4 linked regions of the Caenorhabditis elegans genome follow. The protein of the gene in region 2 interacts with the protein of the main gene of each other region in a pairwise test. Each region holds a gene or a part of one and is shown on either strand. Other genes may lie near its edges.

Region 1 (8,885 bases), on a different chromosome or scaffold from region 2:
ATATAATTTTTTTAATTGTCTGATTTATTGAAGGTCATAGCCGTAAAACGGTAATTTATAGGCCAAAATTATGTTTCAAATGAGGTGTATGATAGCTAAACTCACTTGAAATGTTCACATAACAAGTTCAGTCCAGTAGTCGTCAAGGCTAACAATACCATTGAATTGATTCTTGGCAGAAGAAGACGCGAAAGGCCAGGAATAACCCAGCACACAGCATGGGACAAATCAGCTGCATGCTCTTGCAAACTTGAAGCCGTTGCTGATTGAAGAACATGTTGAAACGGTTGATTTTTAAGAGCGTATGCTGAGAGAAGCAGCGCCACTGAAGATGCAGCAGAACCAACAAAATATGGCCAGCCGCCGATTTCTTCTACTTCATGTTCGTGAGCCGCTGAAGCATCATGAGAACCATGGTGATCAGGGGATAACAAGTGCTCGAATGATTCCTTCGATAAAAAGATGGAAAATAGTTGAGCCAACACCTGAAGAAGGTTATTTTTAATCTCAAAAATACTGATTCCAATTGGAATACATTTTTAATATTTAGTGTTTCAAAAACTCACGGTAGTACTAAAGACTGCCAAAACCGGTACTCTGGCTAATCCGTAACTAAATTTATGCGTTGGTTTTTCGGTTATCGACATGGAATACAGAGACGCGAATTGGGAGCAAAACGAAAAAATCGTAATCCAAAGAGTTGACATTAGAACTGAACAAAAAACTATTATTTTTGCACTCAAATACAACAATTACCTATCGAGTGGCTCGTTGATACGCAATATGCCAAAATTCCAACACACGCCAGGCATATTAATGTGGAAATTAGTCCTCGTTTCCCTTGAGGATGGTGTAACGACCTTGATACCCATGAGAAGCTGACCATCTGAAAATAGAACACTGCATTTTTGTTTCTGAACAATTTTAGACGCATAAAACAATAAATTAACAACTATACGCTGTGGAAGTCAACACGATTCAAATTTTTCTTCAGAAAATCCATTGCTTCCATATTTCCATCAAAAAATGTTCATTGAACGATTTAAAATTAAGCTGAAATGAGCCAAAACCTCGTAAATGGAGACGTGTTCGTTCAAAGGCGCGCGCACTTTCACCACTGGGTCTCGCCGCGATTTGGGAACTCTCTCGAATTATTTGAATTTCTGCCGTTTTATCATCTTCATTATGCGTTTCCATGGCAATTTTCCTGAAGAACATTCGCGACTTTATATTTCTAATCCATTTACGTTTATATTCAATGCCATTCGCACTTAAAATATATCGATTTTGGCCAATAGTCCTTGTATTTAGGAGAAAAAGGTTGTAAGAGAAAAATCAATCGAAAAAAGAAATTAAGTGGACAATTCTTGCTTGTTATTGCCGTGATATGAAAACATTTTCATCTGATGGCTTTATTTTCGTCAATTTGCATAATCATGCTAATTTCAACTGTGCGCTTATTTATATGTCGTGCACCTTCCTTGAATTTTATTGATTATTGTTCGTATCCGTCTAGTTCTCTTTTCGAATTACAGGCAAAAACCATGGCTAAGCAACCAACAGTTCTCTGGGCCCAGCGTGAATCACTTGTCTATCTGACCATCGAGGTTGATGAGGCGAAAATCGAGGAACTGAAAGGAGAGGGAAACAAGCTTCACTTCCAGTACGTTTCGGATTAATATTTCGATTTCTATTTTAAATGTTTAAATACGATATGAAGCATATTTCTTGCTTCCTAAATATTCACAGAATGTTCATGATGGTACATAGAATGAGTCGTAATTCGTAAATTTTCAGAGGAAGCAGCAAAACTGACAAGTACGAAGCAACTCTCGAATTCTTCGACGAAATCGATCCTGCATCCGTAAAGCACACTGGATCTTCAACCCGCGTCGTTGAGATCACAGTTCAGAAGAAGACCCCAGCCTGGTGGCCAAGACTTCTTCAAAACAAGGGAAAGGTCCATTGGTTGAAGGTTGACTTTGGAAAATGGAAGGATGAAGACGAGGATGATGAGGCTGAGGATGCCGGAGCCGGAATTGGCGGTGGAATGGCGAACGGATTCGATTTGAACCAGTACATGTCCCAGATGGGAGGAGCTGGCGGAGCAGACTTCGGAGGTCTTGAGGATGATGAGGAAGATGACGGTAAGTATTAAGTGCAATAATATCCTTTTTGCTTACTATTAGTAATTCGTTAATGATAGAAAACCAATGTAGTATTAAAATGTTATTTATTATAAAAAATTTTCAGATATGCCAGATCTCGAAGACAACGAAGAGGAGGAAGGAAAGAACGGAACGAGAGCTTAAGCAACTCCTCAAGTCCCAATTGTTTCATTAAAAATACAATTTGAATTTCTCTAATTTAATTCTTTATTCATTTTTCTCTATCCCGATTATTCCTCTTCCAGTTTGTGAACGCTTCACGTATCTCAGTCACAGAGTTTCATTTATTGTTTCCACTTTAAATATTTATTGAGTAAAGTGATATCACACCCATCTTCTTGCAGTGAACTTGTGAATTCTGACGGCTTAATTTTTATCCCGCATTCGTTTTTCTAATCAGTTTCCATGGGCAAGAACACAATTGGTAAGGCTCTGGTAATACTTTTCTAAAGTTGTTACTTTTTTTAAAATGTGAGCATACAAGGTATTTAATTTTGTCTTCTTTGTGGATCCACATGGAGAAAAAACTCCTGAAGACATAAATTTTACTCATTCAAGCTGGATAATATCATTCAAATCATATCATTCAAGTTAATACGCTTTTTCCGATCAATCATCTGAATCACAGCCAGAGATTAAATTATGAAATCGTATTTTTAAGATATGAACCAATTAGTGTGTCCATTGTGCTGCGAAACGCTGAAAGAGGAAGGCGCACACTTCTACAAACATTTTAAGTACAAGTGAGGATTTTAAATGTTATTTCTATTATTAAATTCATATATAATTTTAGGAGATATGCATGCGGAGAGAGCACATGTGATATGGGATTCTACACACAACAGGAGCTCAATGCTCATTGCTCGAAACACGGACACAAGCGCTCTTTTCAGGTTTTGAGACGATTTTCTACAATTAAAAATATTGTTTTTTTTCTTCAGAAGACAGTAAACCCATACATTGACAAAATGATATCGGTTGTTGTGGAAGACGCATACGCCCTAGCGACTGACGATATGGAAACTGTGCTTGAGAAGCGATGGGGAAGAGATCCGAGATCAGTGTCACCGACTTCACCTGTTAAAAAGACTCCTACTGATAGTGCAAAGAATAAAAGAAGTTCCGTCGTAACTCCAACATCTCCTCCAGTGCCAAAAAAGGCAAAATCGGGAACTTCTACGACTTCACCATTTGCATTTTTAAATAGAAGAACAAATAATTCTGAGAGGTATTTATTCACTAAATACAATTTTAACAATGCCTAGATTCCGACAAAGCCCTCGTTTTAAAAATGATATATTCAGCTCACTCTGCCCCAACGCCTCCTCAACATCAGCTCAGCCAGCTTCATCAAGTTCAGCTCAAGCTATAGTTGATTCAACAACCAGTGAACATAATATATCTATTGATAAAACAAAGAAACCGAGGAAGAAAAGAAACGAGTCAATGACAGCAGCTCAAAATCAAGAGAAAGCTGGAAAAAATGCAAATTACGATGAAATGTCAGCGATTGATAAACTAATTGGATGGTTTGATCCAAATGTTCCAGAGAGACGAGATGCTGCAAAAGTGAAATGTGCGGTTTGTAATGAAGAAATAGTTTATGATTTTAGTGAGTTTTTGAAATCTCTAAATTCGAATTTAGTTTTTATCTTACAGTTCTCCGAAAAGGACACGTGACTCGTTCCCACATGGCAGCTGATGTAGCACCAGAAGATTATGATGATTTGCTGAAAACTGCGGTATGTACAGGAAAACAAATTAAATTGAGAACAAGGCTGTGCAGCAAATCTACAAAAACAAATTTAAAAAAGGAATATGATATTTCATTTTGAGGCAAATCTGAATTCGAGAAGGAAAAAAAAAGAATTATTCTTATTTTTTTCGAAACAAAAAACGAAAAATCTACAGCCCTGACGGTGACTTTCCTGCACTTTTTGAGATAATTTTCGAGTTTTTTTCTCAAAAATAAATATCATATTCAGATCGAATGAACATTTCCCCCACACTGTTATATTAATTTTTAATTTGAATTAATTGATTATCATACTGAAATTATAAGTTTTGACCCTGTATCTACATTTATCCTAACTAGGTTGCAGTTTTTAAATTAAGAAAAAATGAGTTTCAGATGGATCGATCGTATCCAGATCTCCCAAATTCGGATCTTGCTTGTCAACTTTGCATGACTGGTGCTGAAGTTCGAAAAAATATGCGCCGAGAGCATATCGAGAAGCTGCACACGACGAGTCTTCCACCGCTAACATGTCCAGTTGGAGAATGTGAAAAAGGATTCAGAAGACAGTGTGATTTGAGTTCTCATATGAAAGATGTATAGTTTTATTTATTTAATTTATAATAAAGCTAGGAAATTGACAAAAAAAATCAAAGAATTCCAGACACACAAAGCGAGCATGGCAGTGTACAAAAATGCAACATTTCAACAAGTTCGTCGCCGTCGAAATGCTATGATAAACGAGATGATCAATAAATGCTTTCCGTGGTCTCGATTAGAAGCAATTGAGAATAAGACTGTAGTTGGGGTTTGTTGAATTATTAAAGTTTTCTGGGTAATTATGAGATTCAGGAGAAGTCGGATTCTGTTAACCGCGCTCCTGTCGATCGCTCGTTTGACACAGATGTTCGAGTGAGAGACGTTAACGTAAGTTTTTAGAAAAATTATCTACGGGAGTCATCACGACCAAGAGTGACATCCAAATTTTTTTTTAATTGAAATTTAATTTTTCAATTCTTACAAAACACATTTTCAGAAAACTCGCCGTGCTCCTCAATACAATGCGAACCGATCTTCGTCGTCCGATTCTGATTCAGAACATGAAGAAGCAGCGTCGGTGGCTACGGGAGAAGTTTCCGAAACTGGTGGAACCGATGATTTCCCGCAAGACGTCATATACATATGTCATCAATTCAATACGGAAGTTGCTCAAAAACTGTCGCAGATCGTCAGAATAAAGCCAGAGATCATTGATGTGGAAGACGTGCTTATGAATGATGTTACAATGGAAATAAATGAGATTCCAGTTAAAGAAGAAACAGAGGAAGAGCAACCGAAAGAGGAAAATAACAGGTAAAAATTGCATAGATTAAGCTTTATTCGTTTTTAAGTAGTTTTCTCGCTGCTTCCTGCAATCTTCTTTTCATCAACAGACAATTGTTGCGTTATCTCAAGTTTTCGAGTTTCCGTAGCCTGGGAAAATAAGAAAATATTTAGATTAGTCTAAAAATAAATACTCCTCACCTCTTTAGAGTTGCCCTTCAGTATTGCTTTCTCGAATTTCGGAAAATCGTCATCCAGCGTCACATACTCGGGATCTTTGCTTTCCTTCATTCCGGTCACAGTGCGTTTCGCGTCACTGTAATGAGAATGATTGGGAAATTAGTTATTATTGTGCTTACAGTTTTCTTGGTGGAGCTACAGATGGTCCATGTGACATTTCTGAAGCTTTTTCGGCAATCTTCTTGAGTTGAGACACCGCCTCGTTGTGTTCATCCTTTGCATCACGATCACTTTGCCTTGGTCCCTTGCTCTTCTGAAAAAAGTCATTTTCCAATAATAAATGCCTGAAAACTCTTGAGAATTGGCGAAACTAACTGAATTTTTTTTTAAATTTACGGTTTCGCCGCCAAACACCACTTTTATCTGCGCCCTTCTAATAATATTTCCATCCCTCTCTTACCTCCTTGGACGGAACTTTTGCCATTTTGCTTGCTCCCTTCTCTCCCGATTGAGCTGTTGTCGAATGTGAAATTGACTTCATTTCGGGATTAACACTTCCACCAGTACCAGGAGTCGATAGATTCTTCTTCGCCGATTTCATTTTCTTCTTCTGCTTACACTTTGTGACACACATTTTTGAACTACTACACACGTGCCTGGAAGTGTGCGGAAATTGTTCTTCAACGGAAACGATAGACGAAAAAAATAAACTCACTATTACAGTTCGATTTATTGAAAAATGATAATCGAACAGATGAGTGAAATGATTAAAAATAAGAACTGATGAAATTGAACCTTTTTGAATATTTCGTTTTGATGTTTTTTTCTTACGTAAATAGTTTAGATTAATATTTTTCTCCCGTAAGGTTACATATTAATTCCTTTTGAAAGTTTTTTGAAATTTTTTGAAAATTGCCCGTTTTTGGAAAGATTCAGTACTCCATATTATTTTATTATTTTCAGTACTCTACCATCAATTCCAATTCCATCAATCTTCTCACCATATGAGCCAATTGTTCCACCACCAGCTACATCTCCAGATCCAATGAATCCGCCAATTGCATCACTGCTTCCAACTCGAATTCTCAGTGCGACAAACGTTTTGGAGAATAAATATAATGAAAATGTGTGAGTTTTTACGAAATATCTGAAAATTAAAAAAAAACAACTTTTGATGTTTCCTATCAATTTTGCAAAATTAAAAAAAGATGGGCTAATTATTTTCAAATTCTCGCGTTAATGAATTGCCTAGTTTAACGTTTTCAGCTCGTTTTCCGCGAAAAAATTATTTATAACGGTGAAACTGTTTTTAAGTCAGTTTTGAAGTTTTAGTGAATTTATTTTGGCCTAAAAATTGAAAAACTCATCTTCATATTAAATATTTTTTATACTGAAAAACATTTGTTCAGCCAGGGAATTTAAAAATAATTAGCCCATCTTTAATTTAATTTAATTTTCATTTATATTTATTACGATAGTAAGATATGGAAAAAAAATCATTAAAAAATTATAAACGTTTTAATTTTTAAGCAGTTAAATTCAAAATCAGATCAGTTTTAACCATCATTACAATATATAATTTCTAATTTCAGTAGCTCAAGAAGATCGACATCACGTGAACGTTCTTCCAACAGAAACTACGATGAAAGATGGTCTCGAAATGACTACAGTAACCCTCGTAACTACAGCAATCGTTCATTCCATCAACGAAACCAACGGGGACATTCATCATCGAATCGTTTCAATTCTCCATTTGTTAGTCGAAATAACTACAACAACAATTCTGAAACAACTGAAGGATCTTCTCGTCGTTCCGAATATAATTCTTCGTCTTCCAATCATCATTCCCGTTCGTCATATCGTGGCAATCGAGATGATCGAGGCTCTCGATGGTAAAGCCGCCATCAATATTATATATGCATTTTCCTTCTAAAACCGTTCAATCTTCAAATATTTCCCTTAACCTTCCAGTATTCCAAATCAGCTTGTGCGAAATTTTAAGAAAATTTCTCGAAAAATCTAAATCTCCTTCGCTTTCAAACATCAAATTTAGTTTCTGTGTGTTAGTATATCCTAGCGTTTCATATCTAAGATAACAATTCTCAATTATCTCTTTTTAGTTAGCAATAAAATAATGCCATTGTTGTTTGACTTTAATTGTTGAATCTCTCGTTCTGTTTAAACGAATATTCCATGTGTGTTGTGTTTTATAATATTTTATTGCTTCTATCGTTCTCCAAAGTCTCGATTCAAAAATCCATGTTTCTAAATACGGAAGTGAAACTAAAACTGTTAAATCTAAAATTTTCGAATCAATATAAGTACATTTATTTACAGAAACAAAAAATTACAATTTCAACATATAAAATTACAAAAATCAACAAGAAAACGATATAATTTTAATACATTTCTTTTTCAAATGGATCATCAATCTTGACACTAAAATCCATTGATCGGTTCAAAAAATCGCGGAATTGTTCGATTAAACTGTCACGGCGACGACTTCCGATAGATTCCATGTGACAATCCATTGATGTATCAGATGCTGAAAATTTTTATAATATCAATAACTTTAGAGGGGAAAATTACCTGAAATATATTACCGAGACGCAAAACCTTACGATTTTTACACCAAACTAAGGCGTCCGGTCTCGAAACGACAAACATTTGTTCAATTCGAAAAGGTGTGCGACTTTAAAGAGTATTGTAGTTAGAAACTTGTGTTTCTGCGGAATTTTCATTGATTTTTCTATTTTGTTGAAATTTAATTGTAAAACATATTTTCTTTTGTTGACAATCTACAGTACTCTTCAAAGGTACACACCATTCACAAACATTTGTCGTATCGAGACCGGGCACTGTATTTTTGACAAAAATCTGGGTAAATTCTCAGGGTTAATACAGCAATTAATCAACATATAGTTTTCATTTAAAAAAGAACAAACCATCACTGAAACGTCGCTCCCTTTCATCGTCACCACCAATCTTCTTCAAATCCATAAAATCTTTGGTCGATTTGTCCATTCTTCTAGTTCTTCTCAACAATCAAATGAATTATCAATCAAATTGTTCGTCTTTTCCTTTTTATATTATTCTTTTTTTAGCGGGTACCTAACCATCTAAACAATCAAAAATGGGTGGAGAAGGTCGATTGACACACGTGATTATATCTTCTACATGCTTTTTCTTATCTATTTGATATTAATAAGGTAACATTTATGGTAAACACTTACGAATGCAACACAGTGTATCGCATTTCTGCTCGTGGAGCAATAACATGGAATAGGTTTTTCTTGAATATTCTAATACAGGTGCTATTTTGAAAATGTGTATAAAAGCCAATATTTTAACTAACATGTTCCGTCATGTGAAGTGGTAATCGGCAGTCCCCCTAGTGAACAATTTTCAGACGGAATAATATCGATCCAAAAGACATCGCCACATGTTCTCCTCTCCTCTTCCGGTAACTAGTCACTGAG
Region 2 (7,270 bases):
ACTTACTCTACTGACGAAGCTAGTTTCGTTTTGGGCATTTGGATTGTTAAGAGCAAGATGGAAATGATCTACAGGAAAGAATTGTCAAGATTATTTAATTGAAAAATACGAAATGTTTAGAAAATGTGCGAGGATGGGGAAGGTGGTTTGTTTTTTGAAGTTCAAAGTGCTTCAGAATAACTTAAAAGATAGTCGTTTGAACAGTGAGAAGTCAAAAAACTTGTACTAGGATGCAAGAAAAAATGACTACCCTAGCGATTTAAACCAAGCTTAATCAAATGTTAGTCTTCTAACACTTTTCTTCAAACTCGTTGTAATCTAGAAACTCTATGATCAAATGAACAGTAAGTGCACATTAGTTTTTAAAAATCGTCACGTCTTTAGCTCAACGATAATTATCAGGAAATTTAGCTTACTAAAGTACATATATTTTGATGAATTTACCCATAACATGTCATCGACACTACATCAACACTACGCTTTTAAATCAGCTGCACATGCTATAGGTTGCTCATTAGGTCACCAAAAGTATCAAAACATTCCACGAGTTTGTATCTATTTTGAGCTTTAAAAATTAACTTCTGATGATTTATCAACAACAGATTATCAAAAAAAACCACATGGTTTTTGTGCGGTTGGATACTCATTCTGAAACAATCGAATTTGCTTTTGAGGAGAGACATGGATGCAAGGACTACCGTAGTAATTATCCGAACTTATAAAATACGTTTAGCTTTTTAAACTATGTAGCGCACTTTTCATAAACATGAATGTTCAATGCTTCAAACCGAATCAGAAACTTAAGTAATAAATCTAAACAAAGTTAATAAAAATGTTTTGGAAAGTTGATTAAGTCAATGCGAAAACAAATCATTGAAATTTTGAAAAAAAAGCCAACAAACAAAAAAAATAGTGAAAAAAAACTACGATCATAATTCATAGCTTTATCGTTCTCCCAAACATGAATGGGTTAGAAAGCAGTATAATTAAAAACTCAAGTCTCGAGGTTCTGAAATTCCCACTTTTTTCAACATTCAGGGACAAAGACCACGGGAAAATATTTCAAAGTTTTCATGAAGAACTCCTTTGATCTGAAAGTCTCAAACGTGTGCGTCATTGGCTAATTGTACTTCAAGGGGGCTGGTTTTAGATGTTGGAAAATAAGCTAGTAATTACAGGTAAAACTAATATTTTCTCGTTCTGGGGAAGGAAAGAAAAAGTGTGGAAGTTGCGAGGAAATAGTTCACTTAGCTCAGTAAATTAAATTGTTTCTTTTTCCGAGGAACTACAACCCGTAGCAAAAACCTATTTAGTTATTGGAATAGGTATCACGAAGGCGTTGACAAAAAAACACACCTACTATATTTTAATGCTGAATTTTCAAGAAGTTTCCTCCATTAATTTTTAAAACTATTTTTATACAATTTACACAATTCTTTGACGGAAACATTAATTATAGAGTTACATAAGTCTTTTACAAGGGTTCGAAAATCTTTTGAAAACCAGCTAGTTGAACCGTTTTCTTTTACGAGGAAAACAAATCTTATTTCAATCAAGGTGACGGAATAATTGAAAATTTTCTCGTTTTTAAACCAACAAACCCAACACAAAAACGTAGCATTTAGGATTATTTTTGAATCGAGACAAAGTGTGAGAATTTTTAAGATTTCGTGATTTTATGATTCATGGACAATTAAAAATGGAATCATTGAGATCAGATTATCGACTGACATTCAATTACTTATTCGCGCAAACGTGAATATTTGAACAAGTTCAGAACACAAGTTTTGGCAAACATGTAATGAAATTCAAGATTTGGGAAGGAAAATACATTATGAAATATATATATATAAATGGAATATATTGTTTTAAAAATTAAAAAAATCTTCATCAATCTTCATCATCTTCCTCTTCGAAATTTCCGCAAAACGCGTTGAAGTCAGTTGTGTCCATTTCTTCTGAAATGAAAAAAGAGAATAAAAAAAAACAAGAATGCAAGAGCAGCAAAAAGTTCGAAAGAGCCAAGCCATTTGGTTTGTGATTTATGACGTGGCAACTCAAACTTTTCTGGATTTTTGCTTTCTGTGCGTATTCTGGTGTACTGCCACATCAGTGTTGCTTAGATTTTCGAACAAGACAACAGACAATAATTGGAAACGCGTTATATATAATTATAGGGAAACTACTCAATAATTAAACATCATGAAATTCGAAGAAAAAATTCTATGAAAATAGATTTGAACAATCAAAAATGAATGATTGAGAAACTTTAAATACAGAAAATTAGAGAAACGTGAGACATGTTTCCCTGCCTAAGCGCCTATCTATTGCCTGTTTTATGGAGTTTTAATGGAGTTTTCAGTTATAGCCGGAATTTCAGTGAACGGAATAGATTTACGCATGCTTTAAGACAGTAGGTAGGCATATGTGTAGGCACGAAACAGGCACTTATCGCCACGAAAGAAGGTAGTTTTTTTTCATCTATATAAATTATTTGCTTAGAGATTTCGGATCTGAGTTATGAACAAAGTCCGATTTGAAAAGTTTTAGTGTCAAACTTAATGTTTATGCAACAAAACAACTTGTTAAAATGTTTACTAGTCACTATCTATTTTTTGAAATTTCAGAGCTATTACTGCGTTTTCCAGATTGAATCTTTAAACTAACCATTTCTAAAATGAATTGGCGGAGGAATGAGCCCACGTTGCTCATAATGTCTCAAGTAATTGCACAAATGTTTGAGCCTCCGTTCCTTACTTCTCCGGTTTTGGAACCAAACCTGAATTACTCTCATGCTTAAACCGGTCTCCAATGCCAATTTGGCTCGAGCATGTTTCGACGGCTTTGGTGTATTCGAGAACATTTCATTCAGCACGTCCAACTGAAAATCATTATGAAAATTTCCGCTTTCTTACATTGTATACCTGATTTTGTTTGATTGTCGTTCTAGGTCCGCGTCTTTTTAGCATTCGTGAATCATCATCACAGAAATCGGAAAAGCTATAATGCTCAAAGTTGTATCCATAAGCGTCAACCTCCTAAAAATTAAATATGCAGTACATTATTCGGTATTTAATCCCTTTAAACTTTCAACGAAAAATAAAGTATACCTTTTTAACTTGGAAAGCTGATGAAAAAGATTCATCAATTGGATATGGGGCAATTGGATTTTCTGTCGAACAAGATGGTATATCAACTGCAGATCCTATTGCTCCAGGTGCGTTGTCATCCATTTGAGGAGGATAATGTGACATACAGGATACGGTCATCATTGTATCGTCAACAAGAATTTGTTCCCCCGGTGATAAATGCCGTCCACACAAAGAGCAACAATGACATTCCACATGGAACACGAGCCCAGCCTGTAAAGTTCTTTGAGTCAAACTTTACCGATCAAAGCCCCAAGCTCTATGCTTGTGCGTCTAGCAGGATCCCGTCAGAGCAAAGAGCAAAGCGTAAAAAATGATTACATCTTTCAAAACTATTAGTCAAAGCTTTGGTTTTTTTTTTAATTTGAAATTGTAGGCTTTTTGAAATCTTTCGGGCATTCCTACTGTTTATACAAAAGTAGTCAAAAATTTAATTGATAAAAAGTTGACAACTTTTTGTATAGGTTCGCTCAAAGTTTAATGTTTTCTTAAACATTCTGACCCAATTTAATACCTTCAGTTTATATACCATATCTGTCGGTGACACTCCTTTCTTGCAACCCGCACACCGATGAATACTGTGATCCCTGAAATAATGTATTTTTATTAATTCCAAGAATATTTTGCTAAAGCTTACTTATAATAATGTTGACTACAATAAATTCTCCCATTTTTCCAAAAACACTTTTCGGCCAGAGGAGACTCACATATTGTACATTTGACACAATTTTCGTGATACGATCGATTGTCCATCTGAAAATAAATGATGGCTGAAATCTTGAAATGTTGTTCGAACTATAGAAGCAAAAGAAAAATATTCAAGATTTTGAGCAGACTGTTTACAGAAGCAAAGCAAAGAAAGTTTGAAAAATCCACAAACATCAGCAAACTTACTCGATAAATATAACGATCATAAATTTGCTCATTGCAGCAATTACATTTGTTCTAGAAATATTTAAAAAAATTATAGAATGTTAGACACAAGTTTCACTAGAGATCGTATCGATAAAATGAGATTGGAAAATAGAATGAATACCAACCAAAAGTTTACACGATTGACTTTCAGAATCTAACTTTCAGAATTTTTAGAAGATGCGGTAATTTTACTTGACTCTCTGAAAGTCGAACAGAAATTTTCCCTCGTGCGGATTTTGTATAAATTTCAAATTGGAATTTCTTGACACGCAGAAGTCTTTGTAAAAACTTTCAAGCAAATGCAATGTAAGTTTTCGATTGATGTTAATTTCATTTTTCTGACTCTCAAATTGTTACTTTTAAATTTTTTTAAAGAAAAATTGTTTTCTGATGAAATTCACAACTGCTCAAGTTTAATTACTCACCTGATTTTCATGATCAACTCCAATTGAATCAATAACCATACTAATCGCACTGAGAGGCTTTGACTCTAACATTTCCATAGTTCAAATGAAATAAATCAGAAGAACAAATAACAGTGAAATTTAGAAGAAAATGCGCGAAATTGTGGCTACTCACTGTAACAAATCACCCGTCAAGAGCCAGATGTCATGTAGGCGTGGCATGCCAATCCAACAGGAGTCTCTAGACCCTGATCGATTATTAATGTGCGCTAAAACTGGTGTCTCCAAATGGTGACGATAATAGATGCATTTCTTATGAAGCTAGAAAGTGTGTGTAAGGATAAGCACTAAAAAGTTGTCTAGTTGGAACGGGCTCTCTCTATCGATCTCCTGACGGTCACTTGTGTTTTTCGGTCGATTCATTATGGGCAATGCATTTCGAATGAATTTGTTGTTTTTTCAAATGTTGTGTGAAGAATATATGGAAAGGACGTTGTAAAGTTTTATAAAAATTTGAATTTGAATAATCTTGTTCTATTACTCCATAGTTACAAAAAAAAGGAACGGAACGGCGGTGGAGAGTTTCTGACTATGCTAATTATTGGAAAATGTTATACTTGAGAATTCAGATTTTCTATACAACATTAAAAATTATGGTATGGACGTCTTCATTACTGCCAGCCTACTACTTAAAAAAAGCTTTTACAGTGAAGTTTCACCCAATCTATAGTTTGGGAGGTAAAATTCCGCGACATTTCAGTAGGTGGGTGCGTGTCTTGGCAGGAGGCATGCGTAGGTATCCTTAAAATCATATCGAATCATTTGCTCCAACTCGGCATTTGGAGGCAACTTCCTGCCAACAATTTGGCAACTTATTTTAGTGGCACTAAATAAGTTGCCAGGTTGTTGGCAGGAAGTTGCCTCTGAATGCCGAGAAGTACAAAAACTATCAGTATGTATTCATTGTTTGTTAAAAATTGAAATGCAGTCCAGAGAGTTTTCAAAATCATTTCCAAATTGTGAGCGTAACTACTCAGTTGTTGGTGTGTTTCGCTTATTTTCTCCTTTCAACTGGGTTTTTTTTTCAATTTATGTTCATTGATATTTCATGAGTTTTAATTTTCGTTTTGATTGACAGTACGGAACTGTCACAAGATAACAGTAAACCTGTCAATAATGTTAAATTTGATCTTTGTAGAAATGAAAGTACTAATTTAAATGTAAATATTTGCATTTGTGAAAAATAGAAGCCAGAAAATGAGAAAATGAAACCAAAAGTCATTTTCTAAGTAAAACGCGATATTAGAGGCTGCTGGGCAGAATTCCAAGAATTTAGAAAATTGCAGAAAACATTTGTTTTGATAAATGTCTTTAGGAATGAAATCTCAGAATACGCCAAGTTTTGCATATTTTATTATCCTTTTACAAAGTAATCAACCAGATTGTATTAATTGTTATTTCGCAACTAACAAAACCCCTCGTTTCAGTGCTCATTTTGAGTTTTAGTCAATTTCTACTCCCTTATTTGCAACTAACCATGCATATAACTGATAAAATAGGCAGATGATAAACTTGTCACTTTATTTGTTTTACAGAAATTAAAGACCCAAAATCACAATGAATGCTCTAACTTCTGCGCGTTTTTATCAAGAAACAGACTGTGTGTGATGACACACCAGCTCGGTGATAAATCAAAGAAAATGAGATCATTTTTCGTAGTTTTCCTTGAATCACAGAACTGGGCAGAAGCCTTATTCACGTGAATATGAGCATGATACGGTATTAGGTACACTTTCTGAAAAGATGAAAAATTCAATTTCTGATGAAACACATTTCTTCCTGATAAGGTAGTGAAATGGCCCCAAAAGATAAAATTTCAAAATGAAACTTTTTATAAATTCTATATTTTTTGGTGGTTAAAATTTTAACAGAGAAAGTCTGAATTTATATAAGATAACACCATTTCTATCTTCGCCAACTACTCCGGGTACCTGCAGGGCAAAATTAAAAAAAAACACATCGCTCCTCATTTTGATAGTTTATTCCGAGAGTTTTAAGATGTAATTTTTATCCATAAAAATCCGAAAATAGCACAATCGAAGATCATATAAACTGAAGATCTACCCAAATCTACAAACAACAAAATAAACGACAAAAATATGCAAAACAGGGAGACGCTTTCTAACAATTGATTTCAAAATTTTAAAATTCTAATATTTTGCATTACACCAAAAAATTACAGATTAGTATGAACTTTAGATCAAATATTACCAACTGGTTAACATTTGATTTGAAATTTCGTGGAAAATTTAAAACTACCTAAAGTTGCCAGAATTCAACATATCTTTGAAAAAGTTCTAAAAATGTTTTTAGATTGAGATTTAAATCTTATTTATGTAATTTCTTCTTTTTTCATTCCTCGTTGTCACAAAACAATTTGAAAACTATTCCTACTGACACAAAAAACCATGTGATTTCAAATAAGATAACTACAATCTACGGTTTAACAAAAAATAATTATATTTTTGCTTGACTGATAAGAGCCAAAAAGCTACTGTTTGATAATAGACATAAAACACATGAAAAAATGAAGAAAATAAAATTAAAAATCTGACACCACCATAAACGGGCCAATTTGTTGCATCGTTCTCGAATACATTCTCATTGGAAATTCAGATTGACGACCTCGACACCATTATATGTTCAGTACCTACATGGCAGTTGACGTGCACATACAACACTAGCCATCAGTTGTCTGTGAATACATTATTACATAACAGCTGCTATTTTATTGGTTCTTGA
Region 3 (8,183 bases), on a different chromosome or scaffold from region 2:
AAAAATCTCCAAAAATCAATAATTTCCCCGAAAATTTACAATTTTTTTCCAGAATTCCCGCAAACGCAAGCAATCTCCACAAGCTCACTGGAGCGACGTTGATAATGTGGAGAATCTGGAGAATCAGGCGACCGCCGCACAACAAATTCCGGCAAAAAAACCGCGCTGGAATTCGGTGGAGCAAGAGCCCGAGCCCGAGGCTCCGCTGGAAGCCGTCGAGCAGCAGCAACAGAAGCAGCCGACAACTGACGGGCAGCACCTGCCGGATATTGTCAAAAATATTGGAGGATTCGAGATTCGTGTCATTCGAAGTCACGACCCGTCGCGCAGAATCTACACTTATTGATTTTTCCCGCCGCCGAAAAATCGAAAAAATCGATAATTTATTAATTTCTCTTGAAAAATCTCCCAAAAATCAATAATTTTACGACATTTTTCATCGATTTTCCCCCTGCGATTGTAATATTTCCCAATTTTTTACATTGTATTAAAAAATGCCAAAAAAACAATATTTTATTGATTTTTTTTTTCAACGATTTTTCAAAGTTTTTCCCGAAAAAAAAAACGAATGTATTAATAATTGTACAAAAATGTTTCCATTCCCCCCCCCCCCCCTGAGCCATTTTTATCAACGTTTTACCCAATTTTTCCACAATTTTCCACTTTTTCCTGAAAATTATCGATTTTTGTGTCATTTTTGTGATCTCTCGCGATTTCTATACAATACATATCTCGACCCCACGACTTTTTTTGTAATAAATTATTATTAATTCGCAAAAATTTGAATTTCCTTGGGTCTCACCACGATTATGGAGAATTTTAAGTTGCAAATTCGAATTCTCCGTAACTTTTTACCTCTAAATCGTGGTTTTCTGGGTTTCTAGCTAAAATTTTGAGTTCTTTGGGGTACGGTAGCACCAAAAATACGCAAACACCGAATTTCTTACGACAAAATGCACAGTTTCTTTACATTCCGAGTTAAAGCCCTAGAAAATGGGACCCCGAGCTAAAAAATGACGGGAAATTCAAATTTGACAGCAATATTTTCAAAAAAATCACAGAAAAATCAATATTTTTAAGAAATTGATTTTTTCCGGGATTTTTATTGATTTTTGAAGATTTTCATTGTTAAATTCGGATTCTCCGTCACTTTTTACCACTGAATACTTTTTTTCCGGGGTTCTGAGCTAAAATTTAAATTTTTCGGGGTACTGTAGGCCCGAAAATACGCAAGCACCAAATTTCTTACGACAAAATGCACAGTTACTCTAAATTTTAAGGTAAAACTCTAGAAAATAGGTTCCCCGGGTGAAAAATGGCGGGAAATTCAAATTTGACAATGAAATTTTCGAAAAATTACGAGAAAAATCGATATTTCGAAGAAATTCAATTTTTTCGGGGGCCCGATTTTTGGAGCCTGAACATTGAAATTTGGAAAGTTGTGCATTACCCCGAGAAAATCAAATTTTGAGCTAGAAGATCGGGAAAAATGGTTTAAGAGGTAAAAAATGCAGGAAAATTCGAATTTCTTGGAAATTTTACTTGAAATTTGATAATTGTGGGCGAAATAGAACGTTTTGAAGCTTTTTGTGTAGTTTTTTTTCGGTTTTCATTCAAAACTGTAAATTTTCGATCAATAATATGAATTCTACGTCTCTTTTCACTCCGGAAACCCAATTTCCAAAGCTCAGCTACCAAATCCTGAGAAGCTGTGCATTTTGTCGTAGGAGCTGCGGCGGTGTTTGCGTACTTTTGGCGCTACCGTACTCAGAGAAAATCAAAAGTTGAGCTAGAGACTCGGCAAAAAATGTGAATAGTGGGAAATTATGCGAGGATTTCGTTTTTGAAGTTGGTTTTCCAAAAAAAAAATTGATTTTTCGGAAAAAAATTTTCCAAAAAAAAAATTTTTTTTTTACAAAATATTGTTTTCCCCGCCGGGGTAACCAGAAATGAAAGCCGTAGAGGGAGAAAAATGAAGAAAGTGACCTTGAAAGTCCCTTTCTGCCATACAAAAAACGCTCCCCTAACCAGCTGCCCCCACACACACAACTTATTCCGAGGCACACGAGAGAGTACACACAATCAAAGAGACGCAGAAATGCGGCAATTTCGAGTGTTGGGGGCGATGAAGACGGCGGAGACCATTCATTTTTGCCATCTGATCACTTTTCCGATTTTTTCTAAATTTTTTTTTTTGACAAAAGTTTTATACAACTCGGTAAATAATTTTTGTACGTAGGCTTACTTTGAGGTCTTATAACTTTGGACTCAAATGAACTGTCAAATTTTAAAGTAAATTGCCTGAAAGATAAAGTTTTAACGCAAATTTTGGTAAAATTTCACCAAAATTCATTTGGTAGTTTTTGAGAAATTTAGGTTTTAATTGAGAAAATAAAAATGTTGAAAATTTTTTTTTTTAATTTTTAAATTTTTTTTTTTTGCATTTTCCAAAAGTTTAAATCAAAAATTTGATATTTTCTGAAAGAAAAATAAAAATATATTTAACGCTAATTCTGACAAAATGTCAAGCAATTTGCACAATTATTCTTTGAGATACTACAGTTTTACCGAAGAAATTTCATTTTTCAGTAAATTTTTCAAAAATTTAAAATTTAAATGGGTTTTCTGAAACTTTAGGGCAATAACACATTTTTTACAATAAAATTTTTTTAAAAAAACAATGAAAAGTACATATTTGTCAAGTTAGAAAATTTGAATTTTCACCAAAATTTTTTTTTAAACTTTTTTGAAATTTTTTTTTAATCCTTGAAAAAAATTTAAAAAGTTCAAAAAAATGTCTTTTCATCAGAAAATTTAATTTTTATTACAATTTGGTTATGTATATACTTTTATTAATATAAATTTATTGATATCCTCAACAGATATATGCTTTCAAAGGTTGAACTGGACATGGTGCATCGATCAAAAACTTGGACAGCTTATATCTCAGTTGTCATTGTTTTTATCAAAAAATCGATAACTAATAAAATGTTCATTATGAACTTCTCTATAACTTTGTAGTTGAGCACTTTTCCATATCTCCAAAATTAACAGAGATACTAGCCGTCAAAGTTAGAGTTAGACATGTTGCATCGACCTTTCCTAACTTTGACAGCCCATAACTCGGTTAATATTGAGCCAAAGGTTGTAAACTGACAAAATGTTCATCATGTTTTTCTCTATAACTTTGTTGTTTAACATTTCTCCCTACCTTTAATATTAACCGAGATATAAGCTTTTAAAATTTAATAGTACATTTTTCAGAATGTCCGACTCCCCGCAGAGCTGCAAAAAGCCGCGAACTCGGAAAGAAACTATTCAAAAGCGAGAAACACGAAGTAAGCATGAAAAACGACGAAGGGAAGAGATGAATGAAGTGATTTGTGAAATGTCGACACTTTTGCCCGAAGATATTCGGGCTCATAAGCTGCGAAGAGTGGATCAGAAGCCTCGTCAGCTGGACAAATGCTTTATCATTGGGAGTACTGTTGATATTATTCGGAATAGTGATTATAGTGAGTCTACAGATTCAAATTAGTAATAATATTCTAATTTGGAATTTTTTTTTAATTTTGAAAAAATTTGGAAAAAAATTTGAAAAAAAATTTCGAAAATTTTTTCTTTTTTTTTTGCAAATTTTTTTCCTAAATTTTCGATTTTCAAAGCTTTTTTCTTTGTTTTTTACTCTAAAACTCGGTAAAACAACTCTATTTCCTCCCGAGAAAAATATAAATTCAACCTATTACAGTAACCCTGATCCGTTTCGTGGCGGGACCCAAAATTTCAAATTACCTTCAAACCAAGGCATGTTGGGTGTCATTTTAAAGCAATCATTGAGCTAAACTCAAATTTGAAAGCCATTAAGCTGAAAATCTCGAAATTTTCGGAATTTTCAGTCAATTTCAATTTCCTCCATTTTCCAGAACCACCGCTGCTCTCCGACCCGCTCGTCCAGGATATTTTCAGCCTGACCAACTGTTTTATGGTTTTTCTGAACAATTTTATTGTCGTGGATATTAAGGGAGACCATCAGGCAGTTTTTGATATTGAAAAAGTTTGTTTTATTGATTTTTTTTCGATTTAAAAAAAAATTCAAAAAGCCATTAAATGGGCAGAGTTACAGGCCTCTGAAAATAATTGTTAGGCTTAGGTGTAGGCTTAGGCGTAGGCTTAGGCTTAGGCTTCAAACATTTTTTTGGGATTAGGCTTAGGCTCAGGCTTAGGCTTAGGCTTAGGCTTAAGCGTAGGCTTAGGCTTAGGTTTAGGATTAGGCCTAGGCTTAGGCTTGGGCTTAGGCATAGGCTTATTAGAAAAAATGGGAAAAAAAATTCTCAAAACATTTTTTTTGGAATTTAATTTTGTAAAATTTTCCAAATTTTGTCCCAGACGGGCGTGACAATCAAATGCACACTTTTTTAGTTGACAACTTTTTGCTAACCCTTAAATGGTAGCAACCTTTAAGCTTCAGTAACTCCGCCCATTTATTGGCTATCAAAAAATTTTCAACCGACAAAAGCTTCACCATGAAAAAAAATCTGCAAATTTTTTCAGTTGACAATTTTTTTCTAGCTTTTCTAGATTTGAAGATATTTGAGTTTATTTTTTTGAAAAAAAAAAATCCCAAAATTTTTTTTGTGGGATTTCATCTTTTTATAATTTTTAATTTTCCAAATTTTTTCCCATACAGGCGTCCCCAATTAAATGTTCCTTGTAAACAAAATGTCGTCATATTTTCGGGGAAATATTATCAAGGTCACTTTTTCCCAAAAAAAATTCGATTTTTTCGGACTGTGTGTCAGCTGACTTGTTTCAAGGTGAACTGGTGGTGGACCGGGGGTGGGGGGGGGGGGATTTGGTGAATCATTGGGATTTTTTCGGTTGGAAAATGTTTTATAACATTTTAGATAGTATAAAAATTTAGAAAGTTTTCGAAAAAAGTTTCAAAAAAAATTTTTTTTTTTGGACTTTTTCTGAAAAATTTTTTTTTTTTTGTTAAACTAAATTTTTTTAAAGTTAGAAATTCTAGAAATAAGTTGTAAACTAACAATTTTTGTCAAAATTTTTGCAAAAGATTTGAATTTTTCGCTAGTTGATAACTTTTTAGTAACCATTAAATGGGCGTAGCTGCTGCCTTCCGTAACTCCGCCCATTTCATGGTTATCAAAAAGTTTTCAACTAACAAAATGTTCATTTTGAAATTCTACACACTTTTTTAGTTAACAACTTTTTAATAGCTGTTTTAGTTTTTGAGATATTTAAAAAAGAAAAAAAAATTTTTTAATGAAATTTTTTTTTTCAGAAACGTATGATTGGAAAAGATATCCGATGTTTTCTGGACTACGATTCAACGTCCAAACTGTCATTTCTCACTTCCAAAGAAATGCTCAATGAGCTCCAACTCAAAAGCTTCATGGCGAAGTCAATGACGTGCAGAATAAAGGAATCGGCGGAGGTTTGGGATTAAAATGTTTTTTTCAATTCGAACAATTCGAAAAATTTAGCTTTAAAACTAATTTATTTGAATTTGGCGTGTAAATAGCTTTTGAATGACACCCATCATGCCTAGGTTCCCGCAATTTTGGGGGAATTTTCCGGGTCCCGCCACGAAAACTGGCAGGGTTACTGTAGTTTTGAATGAAACTAACTTTTTCAATTTTTTTCAAAAAAGTGTGATCACTGAGCTAACTTTGAAGAAAAAAATTAAGAAAAAATAGTGAAAACTAAGAAAGTTACAGATTTTCGAAAATTTGTGAAAAAAAATTTTTTTAAACAAAATTTTTTACCAAAAAAAACTTATTTTGTCAATTTTTTTTTAGCTGAGAATCACAATTTTACTCTCAGCAACCCAGAAAACCTGCAAAACCTGGTAAAACCAGTAAAAACAACCAAACTACAGTAACCCAGAAAGTTTTCGCGGCGGGACCCGAAATTTTAATCATTCACGGAATATAGGCATGATGGGCCTTATTTTGAAGCTCTGGACGTGCTTAATTTGAAAATGTACGAGTTTTGGCTCAAAATCGTGATTTTAACCAAAAAAATTAGTTGTTAAAAAATTGAAAAAATTTTTTTTTCCAAAATTTCAAAAATTCCTAGAAATTTTTAAAAATCAAAATTTTTCCAGAAACCCACGGAAACAGTTTTAGTCTGTGTGCCTGATGAGCTTCCAGCTCTCCCGGTTACTGTACCCAAGGCTCCGCCCATTTTAGCTTCGCCCCTTCAGAAGACACCGCCCCCGCCGTCGAGTTTGGAGGTGAAAAGCCCGATTTTGGCGGCACTTTTGAGGCGAAAAGAGGATAATTGTGTGAAAGTGGTAAGTTATTAATAAGAATTAATAGTTTGGCGGGAAATTTCAAACTTTTTGAGAAAAAAAAAATTGAAATTTTTTTTTTCGGAACTTTTTTTTCTAAAAAATTATTTAACACTATTTGTTGAATTCCAGAGCTCCCCAAGCTCCTTCCTCTCGCCGGGCTCCTCCACCTCGTCTACAGTACCCAATGTGAAACCTACAGTAACCCGCCGACCTACAGTACCCACAAAACGGAAGAGACTACGATCGATGAATGTTATAGTGGAAAGTTATCCGTTGGATGATGAGAAGTCGGATGGAAATTCACAAAAATCGGCGAAAATTGGGAAAAAGAGGTTTTTTCTAACAAAAAAAAACGTTAAAACCTACAGTAATCTACTCCAAAATCCATGCGAGACCCTTAAAACTGAAAATTTCAAATTTAGCTCAACAAGACCTTTCAAATGACCCCCATCATGCCCGGGTTCAAATTTTCACAAATTTATTCAAAAGTTGGGTCCCGTCACGTGGGGTACTGTAGCACTGGTTTCAGCTGTGTCAGTGACATAATTTCGGAGTTTTTCCGAAGCTCTAAGCGTGCGAAAGTTAAAAATGTTAATAAAATTCTTAACATGTAAGATTTTATTGATTTTTTCAAAAAAAAAAAATTTTCTAATTTTTCTGAAAAAACTTGCAAAACTATGTAAATTTTCAGCCAAACTAGCACTATTCCAACTCCGAGAAGCACTTTGAGCCCAACTACAGTAATCCATCCGTCCACGTCACTAATTCAACCGATTCCGACACTTGGAATGAACCCATTTGACATGTTATCACCTGGTTATCAAGATGTATGTGAAAATTATCGATTTTTAATGGTAAAATCAATAAATCATCGCTAAAAACTAGTTTTTATCAATAGAGCGCACTTGCAACACGGTTTTAATTCAAATTATCGACTTTTCAACTACAGCTACTATCAATTTTCCAGATTTGGCTCCGACTACAAAGTGAGCGACTTCTGCTGGAAAAACGAATTTCAGCGAAAGAAGGGGAGCTGAAAAACCTGATGCAATTCGTTCAAAACCCCCCGTTTTTGAATTTCCCCCAATATATGCTCCCGCAAGGGCCACTTGGTGCTCAAAATCAATAGTTATGGGTTTAAATGAATAAAATAAATATTTATTTACAAAATTTGATTATTATCGACGGGAATTTGTTTAAAATACTGCAAAATATACTGGGAAATTTCCGGAAAAATCATTTCGAAGTTAATTATCATTTGAAAAACCGCCGAAAACTGTGAATGCGCAAGGAGAGGTTGCTGGCGCATTTCTCTTGTTGCTTGCGCACTCTGCGATGAAATTAATTTATTTTATTTTTTCATCATTTTCGTTGGGTTTTCATCATTTTTCAGCGATTTTTTTGCAATTTTTTTCAAAATTCCCATCAAATCTATAGTTTTTCTCACAGGAAATGGACTCGGCCGACCCTCAACTCAATCGATTCCTCCAGCAACTGCAGGCGGAGACGCAGCGTCAAAAATTCACCGAACAAGTGCACACGCTCACCGGTCGCTGCTGGGATGTGTGCTTCGCCGACTACCGTCCGCCAAGCAAGATGGACGGCAAGACTCAGACCTGTATTCAGGTAAAAATTTGGGAAAATTTGGCAATTTTCTGCAATTTTATGGGAAAATTGAAGAAAAAATTTAAAAAATCCAATTTTTTTCCGTTTCAGAACTGCGTAAACCGCATGATCGACGCCAGCAACTTCATGGTCGAGCACTTGTCCAAGATGAACGGAGGACACGTCTAAAAATCGATGAAAATCCCCTTTTAACCTTCAATTTTTCTTTGTTAACTGTTATAACACATACTGTTTAGGCTCTTTT
Region 4 (5,506 bases), on a different chromosome or scaffold from region 2:
AAATTTACTTGGAAATTACAAAAATTTCCACATTCCTCCCATCATTCCACTGCTTGGGACAAAGTTTCGCATACCTATAAGCCGATATGTCCTTTTTGTTTCAAAACCGAGACATTGGCGTCAAAAACTTCATGATAACTGCATCTTGTCAGCATTATCGCTCCTCCCTAACTTGCAGTAAGCGGATTAATTGTACCCCTAAAACTACCTACTAAATAGAAGCCTACGCTTTTTGTTATCATTACCCTTTTTTCTTCTTCACACAGAAAGAACCTTGTTCTGCACGATTCGCACACCTTTTCCGGAAATCATCATTGACTCACACCTTATTTCATTTTGTGATTGACTTTGGCATCACTACGGTGGATAATCTTCAGGTAAATAGAATTTTGATTCATTTTTTCCAAGTCTTTTTTATCATTAAACTATCATCCCATCTACTCACCTCTAGTGTTTTCAAAGATAATAGTCAATTATCATTAGTCGGCATGTTGCACCAAAAGGGAACGTTTATGTAGTGAGAGTCATAAAAGGAACACGTACCACCCCAACATGATAGGTTTCATAAAAAGTTGTCGTCGTCTTTGAAACCAAATTCAAACGGAGAATAGCCAAGAAAAATGGTTTGCTCAAAAAAAAGTGGGCGGTTTTTCTGCCGCGCGGTACTCCATATTCCAAGTCATTCTCTTTTATGTCAAATTTTAATGTGTATTTTCAAAATTTCTGTTCACTATAATAGGACAGTTTACTTCCATAACTCATCATTAACGAGTAGCTAGAAAGGTGTATAACTGTCGTGCAAATGTTATCTAAATAGTGCAAGATGTCCTAAGTTGTCATCAGTCAAGTTATAAAATGTCACTTATGTTTTTGGTGTACTACAGTTACCTAATCAAAAATTTTGAATTTCTCTATAGATTCGGTTCCCGTGTGTCTAGAAAAACTTTATCCAGACCTAAAGGCGCTTTTTATGTTTCTTATCGCTCCAGACAGTTTCACGGTTTTTTAAAAGTATAGTTAGGTCTAAAACTTCTTTGAAAAGGGTGTCATGAAATCTTCAAAGATCTACTTCTACTTCTAAAGTAGGCGGTGCACGGCAGCACAGGGCCTACCGTAGTCAGTCAACCAGCGCCCGCCGAGAGAGCAGCAGCAAAGACAGTGGGCGTGTCGGAGGAGAAGACGAGCTGAACACGAGGTGGTGGCCGCCTCCGTCTGCTTCTGGGAAGCCACTCAGTTCCTCCATTCTACCAAGTATAGGCGATATTGTATGTTCTGAAAACTTGGTTCTGCAAATTTTTCAACTATTTGTGTGAGTTGTTGAAGATCTCTAACAAAAACTGTCTTAACTCAACAGTTTTATCGTTACACAGTAGCTAGCTAGCTAAGTTAGACAGTGCTCATTCGAGCACATTCTGTGAAAACTAAATTGAAAAGTACCACTTTTGGAAATTCCATATTGGAGAATCTGTTAAAAAAATCATTTTCAAGCTGAAAAATTAAGATCAAACTTTTATACAGTTTGTAGTGCCCAAATTTTCGACAAAAGTGCATATAAAATTTTGTATTAGTATTAGTCTGAACCGCTAATATGATTCAATGACAAATTTCCCGCCGTTTTACCCACATTTTTCAATTGTGTTTTGCAACCGTACGGAAGAGGGTTCTACTGTTTTTTATGTGGCCAGCATGCATCATAATTTGTATCATTTCTTGTTTTTAAACTATTATACATGAAGCAAAAAATTTTTGAGATGTTTAAAAGCGGGAAAATAGGTGGCTCGCGATACGATTTTATCATAACAATAGGTTGAGAATGATATTCTGCTCCCTGTCCGCTTTCGTTTTTCCCCATTGATACCAAAGTTTCTTTTTTGGCACCATTCTTCTTTCCACATCGCCGAAATAGAGTGAGAAAAACGGGGAGAGTCAAAGTCACAGTATCATCATATTGTCAATAGAAGAGGCCCATATTTAACTGTGATTTTTTTCTTTTTTTCTGCTAACTTTCTTCCTTCTGAAAATGTCTAATGTTTGCATATCACCGCGAGTCTTCACCCGAAAAGGCTTTCCCTTTTTCTCATTTTTCCCCTACTTTTTTCTACTTTTTCTACACTTTTCGACTCTTTTCTGCTGGTTTTCTCTATGAGTCAATATGGAAAATGTGGTTCTCATTTTCTTCAATTTCATAACTTGCAAATGAGATAGATAGCTTCTAGTCACATACACCTCTACTGTTTGGTAAACACTCCCCTAACACCTCCGTGCACGTCGGCTACCTTTGATGTAGGACCGAAGCACGGAAGCCAACCGTTTTTATAGCCGCCGTGTACTTGATAATATCATGCGCCCGAGCATCAACAAGCCATCAAAACCTTTCTACTTACCGACCAGCACAAAGAATTTCTTTCAATTTCGCCCCTCTTCCATTTCCAATCATTCGTTATCGCCGTTTCCAAAATTCAGAAGTGTTAGCGAGTCTATAAAAATTCATAGATGACGCGTGGTGTAAAATGTGAGTCGCCCTCCTCCCAAAAAAGCGGCACCATAGAGTCAAAGTATCCCACTGAGTTGTAAGTGATCCTCCTTCTTTCTTGACAGTCATCCCTACCACCACCGCAACATTGTGCTCCGCCTGTTCAGTCCTCTCCTCCTTTTAGATTTGTTTGTAGTAGATTACCCCATAAGACGATAATACTCGTTAACAAAGTGACAACTTCTCTTGAAAAGGAGCAAACAATAACTATCGCTCCTTCTTCTGAATTCTGCTCTCTTACATTGCCCAACGGTATCATCATTTTTCCCTCTTTTCAAATCGTATTTGCTCGTTCCGCTATTTTTGCGACCTCAAATCAATTTGAAATAATTGTTTTCTTTTCAGCTGGAATCAACACTAGCCCTTCCCGCACACACAAAAATGCTTCCGTGGCAACGACAAGTTCCAACATCAATTTTTCCTCAATCAAATGAACAAGTTTTTCGAATGATGCTTGCACAACAACACCTCCAACTCCAAAATTTTCTGCAGCAGAGGAAAATGGCGCTGCTTGCTATGAATCCAGAAATTCCAATGATCACCGATCTCAAGAAAGCAAAATTTGACTTCACTCACATGGCTGATTCAATTGAATCTGAACAGAAGATCAAAGAAGAAAGTGTGTCTCCAAAAATGTCCCCGACGCTCACTACTGCAGCCGTTCGACCATTTGTTCCTTACGATCAACCATGGTAAGCTCTTGTATCATAATGTACGATATGATGATAAGAAATTTTATACTGTATCATCTCAACTATTTAGTTTTAGGTTCATGATCCCTGGACGTGGAAGGACTACTGGCCGAGCAGCCCGACCAAAGAAGGAATTCATCTGCAAATATTGTGATCGTCACTTCACCAAGTCTTACAACCTCCTGATCCATGAAAGGACACATACTGATGAGCGACCATACTCGTGTGATGTTTGTGGAAAAGCATTCCGTCGTCAGGATCATCTTAGAGACCACAAGTATATCCACCAAAAGGACAGGCCATTCAAATGCGAAATCTGTGGGAAAGGATTCTGCCAATCAAGAACTCTCCTCGTCCACCGTGCAACACATGATCCAAACCGACACAGTATTGGAGCTCCAGTTGTACCAATCAAAAGTGAAACACCACTCCCTGAACTGGATCCACGAGTAACATTAATTCTTCAAAATCTCACTGATAGCTTTAATTCGACGTCTATGACATCCCCACAAATCTCACCTGATCGCTAAATTCTGCTGAGAATTAGTATTTGGCATCTAGGCTTTCTTATGAAAACGGTCAATTTTGTCATTCCTGCTTAAACATTTTCATGTTGTCCAGTATTACTTGAGGATCATCTGTTTTTTCCAATATATGCTACTCTTTTTTTTCATATGTCTATATTTTTTTCGATTTACCTTCTCTCTTCATACTTGATAGGGTCAAAGTTTTAGATTTGTGATTGTGTCAGATACAATATTGTACCAAAAATAAAACATTTTCTGAATGACGTTGCAATACGGTGTATAGAGTTTACAAGAGGGCAGCAAGGGATCATATGTGCAATATCCACGGTCGGCACCGTTTATTGCAGATGGGTGTCTGTTTTCAAACCGGAAATGATTTGAAGAGGATAGAAGGCAGCATGAGCTCCACAGCAAAGGGCTCACAATGTGCAAATTTTTGAGCTAGCTCATTGAAGTTTCAGCATTGACTATTAATTCATGAAACTGTGCACACAGATTTCATTCCAAATCTCTGAAAACCCTAATTATCTCACATATTTCCTAAATTGGTTTGAAAACCAAACTTGAAAATATTTTAACTAAGTTTTTTTGTTGGGCATTAAAGATTTAGCATAGTAAATTTTCAGACAATTAAATATATTTGAATAGTTTCATGTTGTAGTAATGTTTCGCAACATTAGTATGTCTTTGGTTTGTCGTGTGAGAAATGCTTTTATTTGTATTTTTTAGAAGATAAATTTGTTTTGCCATGCTTAGAAATAAACAAGTTCTGATTTTTTTAAATTCAGTTTTTTTTGTCTTATTCAGAAGTTTTCATTGCGATCAGACTACCACTTGGTTTGAGGGTCATTTTCGAATTTTTCGCCGGAAATCTAGTATTGATATGTGATTGAAAAGACTAAAGCATTTCTGTAACTACTATTCTACTCTGATCTTCAAAACAAAGAGCAACAGGGAGAAGAAAGTTGAAAAATCGACTAGCAATCTGCTATGGGCTTTTTGAGATTTTCAGAAATGTTTTCAAAAATCCCATTTTTTGAAAATCATGAAAATGTTTTTTAAAGTTAAATTGCATTAAAAAATGTTTTTGTGGTGTATGTTTTGTTTTTCATAATACGGAATGGACTAGAAACAAAAAATCGCTCAATTTTCACATTTACTGAATTTTAAGCTCAATTCTGACACTATTGATTAATTATTTATTCCTAATTCTAATTACGTTAAATCACACGGTTTTATACATTTTAGTGTTTTTTTAGAAAAGTTTCATATTTTCGAGTCATATTAGAGACAAACTGGCACAAATATGTTTTAAACTTGTGTGTTGTTAAGAAACTTACAACCGACGAAAACATTATTTTTTTCAATTATCTAATCATTTGTTGATATGTTCAAAAAAAAACAGGTTTATGAAAACCGTATTAAAAAATTAGTCATTTTTTGAATGAATTTTCTTGTTCAAAGTGCTCATCGGCAGCTATGAAAGGTATATTTTAAAGATTCCTATACAAAATATGTTTCTGTAATAGCAAGAATTTGAAGAGAAAATTGACTGTATTCAGAATGATTTTCAGACTGTTTCTACTGACATTTGGTAGTTCTGAGAGTTGTTGAAAAATATGGTCTATTAAAAAAATGATGTGATGATTTAAAATAATTTCGTAAACCGAACAGCAAAATGTTATTTATCATTGGAATACTTGAAAGCTTGAACACAAAATTCTACGTGATTCTCTATAAACTTCAATGCCATA

What was found.
Region 1: the proteins of mec-3 (region 2) and ztf-8 interact in a two-hybrid assay, tested with the Caenorhabditis elegans proteins (one large-scale study listed by BioGRID).
Region 3: the proteins of mec-3 (region 2) and hlh-33 interact in a two-hybrid assay, tested with the Caenorhabditis elegans proteins (one large-scale study listed by BioGRID).
Region 4: the proteins of mec-3 (region 2) and odd-2 interact in a two-hybrid assay, tested with the Caenorhabditis elegans proteins (one large-scale study listed by BioGRID).

The regions. Positions count from the first base shown.
Region 1 is NC_003281.10:5,267,416-5,276,300, reverse strand, and holds ztf-8 (C2H2-type domain-containing protein), read left to right. Parts: upstream 1-2,829; 5' UTR 2,830-2,831; coding exon 2,832-2,911; intron 2,912-2,961; coding exon 2,962-3,061; intron 3,062-3,109; coding exon 3,110-3,396; intron 3,397-3,472; coding exon 3,473-3,780; intron 3,781-3,827; coding exon 3,828-3,910; intron 3,911-4,299; coding exon 4,300-4,500; intron 4,501-4,567; coding exon 4,568-4,711; intron 4,712-4,755; coding exon 4,756-4,830; intron 4,831-4,939; coding exon 4,940-5,256; intron 5,257-5,265; exon of another isoform or gene 5,266-5,289; coding exon of another isoform or gene 5,290-5,376; intron 5,377-5,427; coding exon of another isoform or gene 5,428-5,542; intron 5,543-5,585; coding exon of another isoform or gene 5,586-5,719; intron 5,720-5,866; coding exon of another isoform or gene 5,867-6,040; exon of another isoform or gene 6,041-6,062; intron 6,063-6,121; exon of another isoform or gene 6,122-6,175; intron 6,176-6,369; coding exon 6,370-6,534; intron 6,535-6,998; coding exon 6,999-7,302; 3' UTR 7,303-7,546; downstream 7,547-8,885. Other genes in the region: toc-1 (similar to Transporter Of divalent Cations), read right to left, coding at 106-485, 567-712, 757-886, 959-1,012; Co-chaperone protein daf-41, read left to right, coding at 1,545-1,663, 1,798-2,147, 2,254-2,312; ZC395.4 (uncharacterized protein), read right to left, coding at 5,290-5,376, 5,428-5,542, 5,586-5,719, 5,867-6,040; ZC395.5 (Ovule protein), read right to left, coding at 7,806-7,951, 8,352-8,430.
Region 2 is NC_003282.8:10,457,200-10,464,469, forward strand, and holds mec-3 (Mechanosensory protein 3), read right to left. Parts: upstream 4,669-7,270; 5' UTR 4,568-4,668; coding exon 4,490-4,567; intron 4,095-4,489; coding exon 4,044-4,094; intron 3,903-4,043; coding exon 3,787-3,902; intron 3,737-3,786; coding exon 3,664-3,736; intron 3,363-3,663; coding exon 3,111-3,362; intron 3,039-3,110; coding exon 2,925-3,038; intron 2,882-2,924; coding exon 2,668-2,881; intron 1,959-2,667; coding exon 1,891-1,958; 3' UTR 1,617-1,890; downstream 1-1,616. Other genes in the region: srb-17 (Serpentine receptor class beta-17), read right to left, coding at 7-38. UniProt on the Caenorhabditis elegans protein: Transcription factor. Specifies differentiation of the set of six touch receptor neurons (TRNs).
Region 3 is NC_003281.10:1,852,128-1,860,310, forward strand, and holds hlh-33 (BHLH domain-containing protein), read left to right. Parts: upstream 1-3,264; 5' UTR 3,265-3,265; coding exon 3,266-3,515; intron 3,516-3,923; coding exon 3,924-4,054; intron 4,055-5,299; coding exon 5,300-5,452; intron 5,453-6,124; coding exon 6,125-6,313; intron 6,314-6,442; coding exon 6,443-6,645; intron 6,646-7,004; coding exon 7,005-7,140; intron 7,141-7,280; coding exon 7,281-7,442; 3' UTR 7,443-7,476; downstream 7,477-8,183. Other genes in the region: pqn-82 (Prion-like-(Q/N-rich)-domain-bearing protein), read left to right, coding at 53-346; ddp-1 (Mitochondrial import inner membrane translocase subunit Tim8), read left to right, coding at 7,766-7,939, 8,030-8,107.
Region 4 is NC_003284.9:6,157,894-6,163,399, reverse strand, and holds odd-2 (Protein odd-skipped-related 2), read left to right. Parts: upstream 1-2,872; 5' UTR 2,873-2,914; coding exon 2,915-3,225; intron 3,226-3,301; coding exon 3,302-3,755; 3' UTR 3,756-4,023; downstream 4,024-5,506. UniProt on the Caenorhabditis elegans protein: May function as transcription regulator. Required for morphogenesis and function of the digestive tract.